3 linked regions of the Arabidopsis thaliana genome follow. The protein of the gene in region 1 interacts with the protein of each later gene in a pairwise test. Each region holds a gene or a part of one and is shown on either strand. Other genes may lie near its edges.

The links. The genes of interacting proteins can lie anywhere in the genome.
Region 2: the proteins of CXIP1 (region 1) and AT1G55805 interact in a two-hybrid assay, tested with the Arabidopsis thaliana proteins (one study listed by BioGRID).
Region 3: the proteins of CXIP1 (region 1) and CAX1 interact in a two-hybrid assay, tested with the Arabidopsis thaliana proteins (one study listed by BioGRID).

The regions. Positions count from the first base shown.
Region 1 is NC_003074.8:20,340,815-20,344,314, reverse strand, and holds CXIP1 (CAX interacting protein 1), read left to right. Parts: upstream 1-1,850; 5' UTR 1,851-1,943; coding exon 1,944-2,465; 3' UTR 2,466-2,958; downstream 2,959-3,500. Other genes in the region: AT3G54910 (RNI-like superfamily protein), read left to right, coding at 38-751, 814-954, 1,082-1,348; LHCA1 (chlorophyll a-b binding protein 6), read left to right, coding at 3,393-3,500. UniProt on the Arabidopsis thaliana protein: May only reduce GSH-thiol disulfides, but not protein disulfides. Probably involved in the regulation of the redox state of the BOLA proteins. May act as Fe-S cluster donors to Fe-S cluster-requiring proteins.
Region 2 is NC_003070.9:20,858,104-20,861,325, forward strand, and holds AT1G55805 (BolA-like family protein), read right to left. Parts: upstream 1,381-3,222; 5' UTR 1,336-1,380; coding exon 853-1,335; 3' UTR 507-852; downstream 1-506. Other genes in the region: AT1G55803 (ferredoxin-fold anticodon-binding domain protein), read right to left, coding at 1-132; UKL3 (uridine kinase-like 3), read left to right, coding at 3,170-3,222. UniProt on the Arabidopsis thaliana protein: May act either alone or in interaction with glutaredoxin as a redox-regulated transcriptional regulator, or as a factor regulating Fe-S cluster biogenesis. The glutaredoxin-BOLA1 heterodimers bind a labile, oxygen sensitive iron-sulfur cluster.
Region 3 is NC_003071.7:15,988,586-15,995,297, forward strand, and holds CAX1 (cation exchanger 1), read right to left. Parts: upstream 4,701-6,712; 5' UTR 4,594-4,700; coding exon 4,309-4,593; intron 4,019-4,308; coding exon 3,951-4,018; intron 3,367-3,950; coding exon 3,338-3,366; intron 3,233-3,337; coding exon 3,036-3,232; intron 2,813-3,035; coding exon 2,588-2,812; intron 2,488-2,587; coding exon 2,359-2,487; intron 2,235-2,358; coding exon 2,118-2,234; coding exon of another isoform or gene 2,014-2,117; coding exon 1,843-2,013; intron 1,735-1,842; coding exon 1,528-1,734; 3' UTR 924-1,527; coding exon of another isoform or gene 844-923; 3' UTR 507-843; downstream 1-506. UniProt on the Arabidopsis thaliana protein: Vacuolar cation/proton exchanger (CAX). Translocates Ca(2+) and other metal ions into vacuoles using the proton gradient formed by H(+)-ATPase and H(+)-pyrophosphatase. Involved in ion homeostasis in association with CAX3.

The DNA.
Region 1 (3,500 bases):
CACTAGCATTTTGTCGAAAAGATGGGAGTATCTTTGGATGTGGTTGCCTAAACTTAAGTATGGTCATAGAGATTCTTCTGAATGCAAGAGGTTGGAGTGTTTTCTTGACAAAAATCTGCCATTACATAGAGCTCCGGTTATAGAAAGCTTCCGTCTTTACTTAATTGATTCAAAATGCACACCTGAGAATATCAAGATGTGGGTTGTTATAGCAGTTTCTCACTGCCTGCGTGAGCTGGAGGTTATTTATTCTTCATATCCGGAGAAGCCAAACATATTGCCGAGTAACTTGTATACCTGCAAATCGCTTGTGATCTTGGAACTCTGTGGCGAGATTCGCTTGGATGTTCCTCGAATGGCATTTCTTCCCTCTCTGAAAACTTTGCAACTTCACAGCGTGAGATACCTCAATGAAGACTCTCTTCATCGGCTTCTATCTAACTGCCCTGTTCTTGAAGATCTATTGGTGGATTTACTTTTGTCAGACAGCATGGAAAAGCTAACTGTTGTTGTCCCATCTTTGCAGATTTTATCACTCTTTATACCTCATTCTTATGAGATCGATGGGATTGTGATAGAAACTCCTTCTTTAAAGTATTTTAAACTTATAGACCATAACAGTAAGAGTCACTACTGTTTGGTTAAGAATATGCCTAACCTGATAGAGGCAGATATAGATGTTGAATTACATAGCATCAAGAGTCTTATTGGATCAATCACATCTGTCAAGCGTCTTTCAATATGTTCACAGGTATCATTTTCTCAACTCATTGTTTAGATATGCATTTGCTGATAATTTTTAATATTGCGCAGGCTATGTATGATGGAGGTTTTGTCTTCAACCAGCTTAAACATCTGAAGCTATGTAGATGCAAAGGGCATTCGTCGGATTTACTTGTCCGACTGCTCAAAGATTCTTCTAACTTACAAGCACTAGACCTTTCCGAAATGGATGTAAGTTTGTTCGTCAAACTCTTTTTTCTTGTCTGATGCACATTATGGTTTTAGTGTAATTCTTCTTCTGTTTGATCTGTAATTCTTCTTCTGTTTGATCTGTAATTCTTCTTCTGTTTGATCTCAGTATCATGAGAATCATGATATCCTTTACTGGCATCAACCAAGTACTGTCCCTGAATGTATGTTGTTGAGTCTCCAAACTCTCAACTTGTCGGCATATAGAGGAACACCAGAAGAGAGAGATCTTGCAGTGTATTTCTTGAAGAACGCTGTTCACTTGAAGACCACAACAATCAAGTCATGTGTTTTTGATGATGAAAGATTTGACATGTTAAAGGAGTTGGCACTTTCTTCTAGAGCTTCAACAACATGCCAACTCGTGTTTGATTGAGAGTATTTGATCACCAAAACAAAGCTTGTTCTTCAGTTCTTCCATGTCCCCGGGCTCGTATGGTTTGTCTTCAACCTGAAAATTTGTTTTCGTCAACCATCTTTTTCTATGTTTTCCGTTTTTTTTGTATGTGATAAAAACTTTATTCTATATGTTGTCCACCAAAAAACAAATTATGTTGATTGGAGAAGTTATATGATAAGTTTTAATCGTTTATGGGGTTTTATAGGTGTGTAGAGATATATACATACCTTGTGAATGAAGAAAAGAGAACTAGCTCTGTGTTGAAAAACTGAAAAGCATTTGATGCCCTGATAATTTCTCTAAAATTATTAAACCGAAATACTAATACGATCCAAGTGGAACCAACCAATTTCTTAATATCTAAAATACCGGAATCTAAAGAGTCGAACCAAACCGAACCGGAATGTCCTCTAATTTTTATTTTTAAACCCATGATTATGACATGCACTACCGGCTTAGTGGTGATGTTTGGCAACATGGTTTATTCAATTCTCACTCGCACTGAGTGTCTGTGGCTCATAAATCATTTACCTTTTCAATTTCTCAATTCCAAATCTAAAAGTCGTCAAAAATGGCTCTCCGATCTGTCAAAACGCCGACCTTGATAACTTCGGTCGCCGTCGTCTCCTCCTCCGTTACCAACAAGCCTCACTCTATCAGATTCTCTCTTAAACCAACGTCGGCACTCGTCGTCCATAACCATCAGCTATCGTTCTACGGTTCGAATCTCAAGCTGAAACCAACTAAATTCCGATGCTCAGCGTCGGCTCTTACGCCGCAACTTAAAGACACGCTGGAGAAACTGGTGAATTCGGAGAAAGTGGTTCTGTTTATGAAAGGAACGAGAGACTTCCCGATGTGTGGATTCTCCAACACTGTGGTTCAGATTTTGAAGAATCTGAATGTTCCTTTCGAAGATGTGAATATTCTGGAGAATGAGATGTTGAGGCAAGGACTTAAAGAGTATTCGAATTGGCCGACGTTTCCTCAGCTTTATATCGGCGGTGAGTTTTTCGGTGGTTGTGATATTACTCTTGAGGCGTTTAAGACTGGAGAATTGCAGGAAGAGGTGGAGAAAGCTATGTGCTCTTGATCCTGATTTCAATACTTGGTTTTTGTGATGATGGAATTTGATCTTATCTATCTATCTATCACCTGGGAAAAAAAATGTGATTTTGATGTTTCAGAGTTTGTGGTTGTAACATTAAGAGACATATATTGTATGATGGATTTAGGTATACAACAGTTGGAGTTGCTTGGAATTTGAGTTTCCTTTGTCATATGTGTTGGCCTGCAAATTTGTGTTGTTTGTTGAAAGGTTTATGTGTGAAGTAGTGCTAGTAGAATCTAAGTTTGTTTCTGACTAAGAGACATGAAGTCATGGGTTGTTATGCTCATTCATATCCTGATTGAGATACAATTTAAAGAAACTTAGTTCCAAAGATTCTGAACATTCACCGGTACAGTGTGTCTGCAAATGGTATTCTGTCTCACTTCAATGTCTAAACACGTTGTCTCAAAATGTATCGTTTGTTAGATACTCCTTTCAAGACATATGATTTAGCCTCGCATGTGTTCGTTGATCCAAGTTTTACCGGTTTGATAAGTCTCCAGTCTTAGCAATAAATCCAGACCGGATTCATGACCAATCGCAGATTTACCGGTCCGGGTCAAGTTTTAAAACATTAGTAGAAATGTGTTTCACCGAACAGGAAGACTTATCTGATAGCATCTCGTTGCAGTGGATAAATGGCAAAATAGTAATATACGTAGATTCTGCTTTTATCTGAACCACATAGTGCAGATGGATATCGAACAGAAGAACATGATATCGAGAAGACACGTGGCCCAATGAAAAAGCCACGCAGGCTCTGTATAGCCAATTGCAATCTGGTTTTAGATTCTCATCTCACAAATCTTACTTATACGATCAGTCTCCCACATTCACACTTCCACCAAACACCTCTCGTCCACATCTTTCTCCTTTGGTGGCAAACACAACGACAGATAGAGAGAAACGATGGCGTCGAACTCGCTTATGAGCTGTGGCATAGCCGCCGTGTACCCTTCGCTTCTCTCTTCTTCCAAGTCTAAATTCGTATCCGCCGGAGTTCCACTCCCAAACGCC
Region 2 (3,222 bases), on another chromosome or scaffold:
AGTGGCTAAGCTGCAAGAGAAGGAGAAATCTCCTTCGCCTACGAGAAGTATCTGGTGCTTGGATGAATAGTGTTTGACCCACACTTCTTCATCACCGTCTCTGTCTCTGTTAAGCTCCGAGAGCTCCCTCATCGCCAATGTAGTGAAAATGATGATAGTTTGGAAAGTTGTTTTTTTTTCGTTTTATTTATCTTCGGACATATACTAACGTAACTTGCTCTGTTGATGTATAGAAGAGGGACGGTTTAGCTTCTCCAGACAATGGAAATGACGATTCACTTTACCCACAAAAGAAAAAGGTGATCACTGATTAGATTTGGTTTAAGCCCATAAAGTACATATATTTGTTGCTAAAGGAAGGTGACATGGACTATTGGAAAAGGCGTTTTGTTTCTAGCGTTAGCGATTAGAAGACGCAAACGCCATTGATGACAATGGGAGAATAATCTGAAGAAGAAAGAGACAGAAACATGGAAAAACAACCCTTTTGGCTCCAAGCTAACAAACACGGCACAATCGAGCTTCCTTTGAGAATTCAAACACATGACCATTGATTGGACTTTCAACTAAATGGAGCCTTAATTCAATTCATCAAGCTATGACCATTATAGTTTTGAATGCTAGAAAAGACAGAACTCGAATTGAACTAAAAGCAAGTGTCTTTGTTCCAACACACAATTCCAGAAACACCAACACACAACCTCAAGCGTATGTAAAAATGAAGACTTTGGCTCCGCAATAAATTCCAAAACAGAGCACTTTGATGGTAAAAATTCAATCTTTGAATCGAACAGAGTTTGATGAGAAACTCTGATAACAGAAACAGAAGATACATTAAACAGTACCAGTACACTAGTCTTTAGAAGGAGACTCAGACGGCGTCTTGGAGACGATAGAAAGAGCGTGCAATCCAGTATCCAACTCTTCCCGGAGCAAATGATAGACCAACCTGTGTCTCTTCACCAAATTCATTCCCTCGAATCCTTTAGAAACGATCTTCACATTGAAATGCGTCTCATCGTCGGTTCTACCTTTCATTCCGGCGTGACCAGCGTGCTGATACGAAACATCTTCGATCACTAACTCCACTGGTTCGAGCTCTTTTTGAAGCTTCTCTCTCATCCTGCTCGCTCGATTCTCTATTGCTCCAGAATCCGACCCGGTTTTCTCAACGCTGCTCATTGCTACGGATCTTGAACCAGTTCCCGTCGATTTTGACTCAGAGTTGAAGAATTTAGGTACGGAGATGAAGACGCTCGGAGAATTTACCGGCGATTTTAGGGGTTGAGTCCGGTGGAACCCAGATACGATTAACCTAATCGAAGATGAAAACATTGCCACTGTCGAAGAAACTCGAAACTATATTAGACGCTGTCGTTTTGTCAGCTTATCATCTTCACGAATCTACTATTAGAGGCGTTATTTGCATTAAGGTCCACAAATTTTCAAATATAATAACATCACCCCACATTTGTGAGAAAAAAATTACAAAAAAACAAACAAACTCTAAAAGTGTATCGAAACACCCTCATACTTCTTCACATTTGTGTGAGAAATCAAATAACAAATACATTCGAAAAATGTTTGTGTATATGATTTAATATTTTTTTGGTGTGGTTAAAAAACTTAAGACATAATTAAGTAATAACAATTTACAATTGTAACGTGGATATTTTTTGAAATGTTGATTTATGACCAAAATAGTATTAGATGAATTCTCCAAGAAGATCATGGTATGATAAGAATAAGATGGTATAGTGCTAAAACATACCCAAAACTGTAATCAGTTTTTGAAGTAAAGGCAATATCTTTGATTTGGGTAATAGTTTGTTTCGATAATTTTGGATGTACAAAATTAATTTTTAAAGTGGTTCTAAGCTGCTCATCCAAATTTTTTAAGGATCCTAATCTCTGGTCTAAACTTCATTAATGAATCATAAAAAAATCTACGGAACTAAAAGAAGAAATTGATTATATCCTTCAAATTTTATAGACAAACAATCGTGCAGATTAAATTGTAAATATGCTAATTTTGTTCCTGTGTATAATATTTTACATTGTAGCATCCTTTGGTAGTGTAGATGTTGAGAAAACTAATATTAATTGGTAAATTATATATTTCGAAAAACAAAATTCAGGTAAATAGATTTGGAGGAAACATATGAAGTTAAAATGTTATGGATAAAAACAGAATAAACAAATTATTGTAGACGTAATCCAAAATAGTATAAAATAAATAATTTTGCAGTAACGTAAGATTGCATTCGACCACACGCATCTATATCACTGCGTTTTTAGCTGCAGCTTTCGATAGTAGGTCCTACATCCTATTCGGATCTGACGTGGATCCTTGATCACACTCTCTACTTTAGGGACTCAAACACTCTCACATTTACGAGAATTGCCACTACCACGTCCCTCAGTGGGAAGGGTACTTTCGTAAAACCAAAAAAACCACTTTCCGGTTTCCGCAAAAACCCGTCACCGCCGCTGCATCCTCCCTTCATTCTTTTCTCTCTTTCAACGCATATACATACACTTATATACGTTATCAATATATTTTATTTTTAATAAGTCCAGTTTTTGTCTGTGCATCGAGTTTAACAGGCAATGCTCGTGTCTCTCTCTCTTTATATGTTTAGATTCTTTATCTGGAACTTGGAAGCTCTTTTGTTAGCTATATCTAATCGGTGATCTCGAAGCTTATTCAATCCCTCTTTCTTTTTTCGTGAGTTTTTATCTTCATGTTGATTCGGTTTATATTGGTTTATATGATGATGAAACGTTTCTTATAATTCTTTTGCATGTATTGATCTAAAAAAATCTAGCTTTCTTCTCTTCTGATCTCTGTTTTCTTTTTGTTCTTTCCCTTTTTTACCCGGGAAAAAGTTACGGTTTCATGTTTAGGATTGGCGTTACTATTATCTGGTGGCCTATCATGATTGGTTGATTGTTTTGTGTGTTATACTGGATTTGAGAAAATGGGTATCACGGCATTGGCACTTGTGGCATCTAACTAATATCACTAAAAAGTTTGATTCTTTTGAGGAATTGTTTTTTGACTGGAAAGTGTTCCTTTTTGTTCCTGGATGGTGACAACAAAGGTAGCTTTGCTTTCCTTATTGGCATATTTCATGTGAATTTAGATTTGCATATTTGTGTTGTAGGAATGGCTTCAAAGTCGGATGTGAATATAATAGAGACATCCTCAAAGGTTCATTT
Region 3 (6,712 bases), on another chromosome or scaffold:
GAGTGATAATGGCTAAAAAGGAGGAAGAAGAAATTTTACAGAGATTGATTCAGTCGTATATTCACGAAACTGCCACTGTTCTGATTTCTCAGGTGTTCTTTAAAATTTTTTCTGGAGGTGGAGCGTTAGGAGAGGGTATAGATGTAAATAAAGTAGGGCCTAGTGAATGAATCTAAGATCTGAACCGTTGGATATACAACGGCGATTGACTGATTTGACGGTTGATATTTGAATTGGACTGACCAATGAAGCAGCCTCGTTTTTCGTGTGAATTCAAACTCTTCACTTCATTTATTTGTTTTGCAGATATAAATCTAAATGGCCCAATAGCTTATTCATTGGGCTTTTAACCCACAAAAGCTCACCAATAAAGGTCTGACCCTTTTTTTTTTCTGACATTCTCAATCCCACCGAAGGTCTGATTTTGACTTGATGAGATATATGATTATTTGAATTTGGATTTCTATTGGTAGAAACAATGTTCTACCTCGATTATAAAGGAAAATCAAAAATTCCATTTATTTATAGTTTTATAGTATTGACTACTCAGAAAAAATGATAAAACCATTAATAAAAAGAGATAGAACATTTGACACAAGACATTCATAGATAGTTCATTGCAAAACCCACCCACAAGAAGAATTTATAAAGTTCTCAAAACTCATCTTCATCAAGACACCCAACATTTTTGAAAAATGAAATAATACTCACTGAATCTCAGGAATCTCTCTGACAAATCTTTCAATATTTATAAATGAATCAAGAAAATTGGTTTTTGTTTTCCTTTCTCCATTGTCTCTCGCTTTGGAAATTTTGTTTCAACACATTGGTACTTGTCTTCGTTTAAGATGAGAAAACTCCTCCTCCTGTTGCAGTGACGACATTGTTCATCGCTTGATGTCCCAAGTGAATGGCATTTTGTTCTGAAAGATAAAATTATCACAATTTGGTGTTAGGGAATAATTATCATTGTCAATCTAGTAGTAGCATGTAGTATGTAGTAATCTTATTAAATTGGAACCCACCCCAATTAATTTTAAACCTATTTATACCCAATTAATTGACGGTTTTTGCAAGAAAACGTGGATTTTGTGAGAATTTTTTTTTTTGTGAAAAAACAATGAACGTGAAGACCAAATGTTTTTAGTGAGAGTTGTTATCTTCTTCGAGAATTTCAACATTTTTCAACATTTTCTCTTAGTTTCCAGGGATATTTATTTTTCACTAGCCTATGTAGTTTCACAAACTTTTCAATAAAAGTTACAATCACATAAAACAGAATTTCGCAGTTTAAACGGAAAATGTTATTTTTCGGTTTTGGCGGAAGCAACAGTTATGCAGTTTTTGACAGTAAAATTATAATTTTTGTTTGTTTTTGAATTAAAAAAATAAAATATAAGTTTTATTACTATTTTACTTTAGTTATTAAGATATTACTCAAAAATTAGTAAAGAGACTCGTCATAAAGAAAAGCATTTATTTATGTTAAAACTTAGTTAATAAATAAATATAATTGGGGGAACCTATTTAACCCGTTTTAACTTTATTTGATGAAGCATTTCCATTTGATATATGGGTGTTGTATGCCTCAATTATTGTTTTCCCTAATAATAGCATGCATATACATTTGAAAACTAACTCACTCTGGGGAAGTTTGTCGACGAAGAAACAGATGGCAATAATGAAATAGCAAAGCAAGAGGACCAGTCCCTTCATGTAGTGAGAACTCCCATCCTAAAGAACCACAAAACATAACAAAAATATTTAACCCTCAATACTTGGATCATCCATTAATTTGTCTAGTGGATTAATAATTTTGTAAGGTGTCGAAAAATGCTTAACCTGTAATGTGAACGCTGTGATGATTATGGAAACAGCAAGACAGCCAGTTTCGAGGGGACCAAAATTGAGATCCATATTAATTCCCAAAATCCACGCCACGATGATGGTCAAGGGGACAACGAATAAGCCAATCTGAGTCGCAGAGCCTAACGCAACTCCCAAAGATATGTCCTAGAAATTATTTGGATTGATATAAGTTCTTGCATTGTGTCATTATATAATAGATCTCGGGATCGATTAAAAGCGATAATTTTAAGGAATAAAATCGAACTTACAAGCTTGTTCTTAAAGGCAAAAATAACGGCTCCAGCATGTTCAGCTGCATTTCCAACAATAGGAAGCAATATGATGCTTATGAAACTCACTGATAAGTTCCATTTATCCGATGCTTCCTAAACAAAGTTGACGTTATATTAGCGAGCATGTTTCCAACTCAAAACCAATTGGCGATAAGTGTATTTACTATAATGTTTTAGTTGATCATGTCAGTTTCAATGTGGAATTCAAAAGAGTTACCTCAATCGTGGCTACAACATACTCCGATAGCAATGCGATAACGAGTGTCATCCCAACCAACCATGCAAAACCGCTCCAAAAACTAATCACCGCGGTTTCTTGCTCCACATCGTCATCATACTCATCTTCCTGTACCAAATTTCGTATCAAAGATCCATTAGAATACAATAATATATATCGCTACTATATAACATTCTTCTGTTATCTTGTGTGTATAGATTTCAGTTACCTGTTCTTGTGCATCGAACAATTGGCGGTGAGTCCACAGTTGGAAAACAAGATATGCAATGTAGCTGATCAACATAACAATACTGAAGCCTCGCGATATACTCAGTTGCATGTCGGACAAAACAGCAGCCGAAGCCTCTCCGTTTTTCAAGTATCCCACCAACAATGGCAGCAAGTGACACAAGAAACCCAGTAGAAGTAAGAAGAAGTTCACATCGGCTTGTTTCTGCAACAATGACCACACAAATTGATTTCGTTTAGCATATCCGTTATTAAAATTTGGTTCAAACATACCACTTGCTTGTTTATCAAGCTAAACTTTTAAACAAAATCCTGGTTAACACTAGCCGTACAAAACCTATTTCATTCCCGGTTCAATTATCTTAACTAAAAAAAATATTATTGGTTTTGAAATTAAAGTTGAACCGAAGTTAAAAGGGAAGTCATACCCGGTCGAACCGCTGTTCCCTTCGGATATTAGCGATTCCTCCACAGAAGAGTGAAGTCCCTAGAACCAATAAAAGGTTCGACAAAATCGAACCTAGCAGCGAATATTTCACCACTGCGACTTTGTTATTGGTCAAAGCAAGAATCGCGATTATCAATTCAGTCGCGTTTCCACACGTTGCGTTCAATAGACCACCCACTGCGGTTCAAAAACACACAGAAAAAATAAATGAGTTTCTACTGATAAAATAAGTAAATAACGTTTGTAGATTGGAATAAGAATAGTTGGTAAAGAAAACGTTACATGTAGGACCGGTGTAGAAAGCTAGTTGCCTGCACGAGAATCACGAGAGAATGTGAATAATAAAGTTACCACACGAAAAAAAAACTTTTTATGGCGTCACTTGATAAGATGATTCTAGATAATCTCAATGTACTTGATTAGATGATAGAGTTTGTACTATGCTGTCACGTTGACATATGAGTGTCAAATAATTGTGTGTGGTTGTAATAAAAAACCAATCATGCATTGCCGAATCCCCAAAGAATATTGGTCCATGTCCATTTATTTCAAAAAGCATAAATTATGGTGGAATTGGACCTAACTAACGTGATCTTCATGATTATAACCCCTAAGATTTAAAGCAAGTAGTGGGAAAAACTGCAAACTTAGTGGAAAGTATTATGGAGCAACGATAAGTATTACAATGAGTGGTTGGTAACTAGATTTATTTGAAAGAGAGAAAAAAGTATTGATATAACGTGATCTTTTTAACTACAGATGGATAGATACGATTCATTTTATCGACAGTTGGCTAAATTTTGTCACGATCGATAAGAAAATGTCGTAATGTGAAGAATTCAAATTATAGAAATATGTAAATGGATAAAATAAGAGATGATGGTCGGATACTTACTCTGTCAAAAAGCTGACTCGCTCAGCCAAAGGTGTCAGTCCTAGCAAGCTAAGTCCAAATATCCAAGGCTGTAATAAAAATCACGATTTAGTACCATATATTATGTACATGTATATACGTTACAAGATACACCAAAGTTTAATTTTAAAACATCAATGACTACAAATCTAATTTAATAGTAACCGGTAATTAGTAATTTGGATTAGATGTAATTTGGATTAGATGTAATGAAATATCTTAAATACTAATGACAAATTGATAAAAATCTGTAGGCGTTTCGTATTCTAACTCTTTTTGCGAATATTTTGAATGATGTTCTCAATGTATTATCAATGAAACAGCGGAAAAATATGTGTACCTGACTGACGCCACAATAGGTGCAAATAATGGCGGCAGGAATGGCCGGAAAAAGAATGGCAAGCTTTGTTCCGAGAATGACTTCTTGGAGATTAGAGAGAAAATCTTTAAGACCTTTGTATGGAACCTTCTGAATCACTCGGAGGTCTGATTTTTTCCTCAAAGAAGAAGAAGACATGTTGTGAGCGGTTCTTCCAAGTCTTAGTTCTCTGCTCGATCCTTTCGCCGTTATGCTTGGGTTTCCGTTCTCAGCTACTGACCACGGCTCTGTCACGATTCCCGCCATTTCTCTACTGACTCAAAACTTTGTAAATTCTGAGACACAAACGAAGGTTTTTTTGTGTCTCTTCGAATTTTGCTTTGCTGATTCTTTATGTTTGTTTTGTAAAGAAATGGCGTCATGATTTGTTTAAATACTACTGATTAGTTTTGTTTATTGGGTCCACCAAGGCAACTTCCACGAAGTTTCCCAAGTTTCCCTTTGAGATTTTAATTATTTAATTTTTTGGGATTTATGGTTTTAATATTTGGAAACCAAAATCAGAAATGGTTAATATAGATCTTGCAGTTGAAAGTTGTAACACATGGCTCTCAAATCTTGATTTTTGGGAAATAACTCTTTGGAAATCATACTAAATTATAAAGTTAATTTTGCTTAGTAATATATTTATCTAATAGCAAAAGAGTTATGTGATGGTCTTATCTTTCATTACTAAGCAAGGAATATGTTGAAGACTAAAATTTGATTTTCACATTCAATGGTGTTTGGAAAGGAAAAACTATGTAAGGAAAAATATATACTATAAAATCAAAAATTCATTAGTATCCTAAAAATCATTGATTAAATAATCTTCTTATTGATGTTATTTGCCTTCTTTACAAGTTTTGAGATAGCTACAAAAAAAAAAGTAAAACCAAAATCTATAACTTAAAAATATACTATATCTCAAGTCTCCGTACAACTCTTCAAGTGGAAATGTGGAGACTAGAAACAGTCGAACTCTTTTTGACCCAAGGTTTTAGTAAAAAGGTCTACTAGTTGCGTGGGTGTCAAGACATTTTTTGTCAACATGGTCCTTCAGAGAAGTTCGTCGGTGATGAATTGTTATCGAACCATGATTCATTAGCCACTCCAGTAGGTTGGTATGACATGAATGACCGAAAATGAGAAACCTAAAAATGAAATTAAAAAATAAAAAAAAGCCTTGAAAACTGGTTATACACAGTAAACCGGAGAATTCAAGACACCCGGATCTGTACTTCTGTATCAAAATGAAATTCACATACGAAAACAAATTAGCGTCGCTATAAGTCTATAACACATGCTTTAAGAGTATTCTTTAGAATATCCTAAGGGTCCAAATTGTGTCGTTAGTACGAATGCGATGTTGATGGTTTTGCCATGTGGCTTTTTCGGTTAACGAGGAGGTAATAGCTTCATAAAAGGCAGAAGGTGGCTGGTGGCTTTTGTTCGCTAGTGTTTATTATGTTTAACTTCTAGCATGATGTTATTTCATATTCATCTATAAAATTATGATTTAAATCAGGGCCATAGAAGCTCACGGCTGAAGCTACGGCTGTTCTTCACGCAATTCGTCACGCCATCGCTCTTGGAATTTTGACAAATTCACTTTGTTTCTGATTTGTCTCAAATCAGAAATATTGACTTTGTCGAAACAAATCAGTAAACTTTCTTTATCGTTCCAAATTTATTGGATGTCATCGATATTTAATTAGGACCTTAGATCTAACTATAGGGATAAAAATAGGGTTATCTAAAGTCAATTACGCTCCAAAACATTATAATGACTTTGCTACCACCATCGAGTCTATACCATTAAATAAGAGTATTGGAGATTTTGGAAAGATGTCATGAATAAATCAAGGATCGATGAATTTAAACTATACTGTGTGGTGGTGCGTAATTAAATGATATTTTAACTATATATAATTATATATTGTGCAACAACGTAAATAAATCCTTTTAAGATGATTTCTTATACATTGCGTAATGCATCCCTATCAATTGTTCCTTTCCTTAAGTTCTTTCTCCTAACTCAATGGCCTAGAGAATCTTAGATTATAGCGCCCCTAGTCCCGGATAACTAAATTTTCATTATAAAAAAAGATCATAAGTGATCTATCTATGCTTTGTCCAAAGAGAAAAAAGTGTTCTATTTATGTAGTCCTCGTCCATTGATAACGATTGAGCCTGAGAATTTAAATAGATCAAAGATTCAAAATATTAGTATTTAATGAATTATGGTGTGTAAACTGCACTGCAGTACTCAAGCGGATGCTGCCGAAGATACGAGAATTAGGCTATATAGTATTGAAACAAATAAAGCTCAAGTAAAAGATTCTAAAATTATTTCATAAATATTTATGCATAGTGCATCCACATA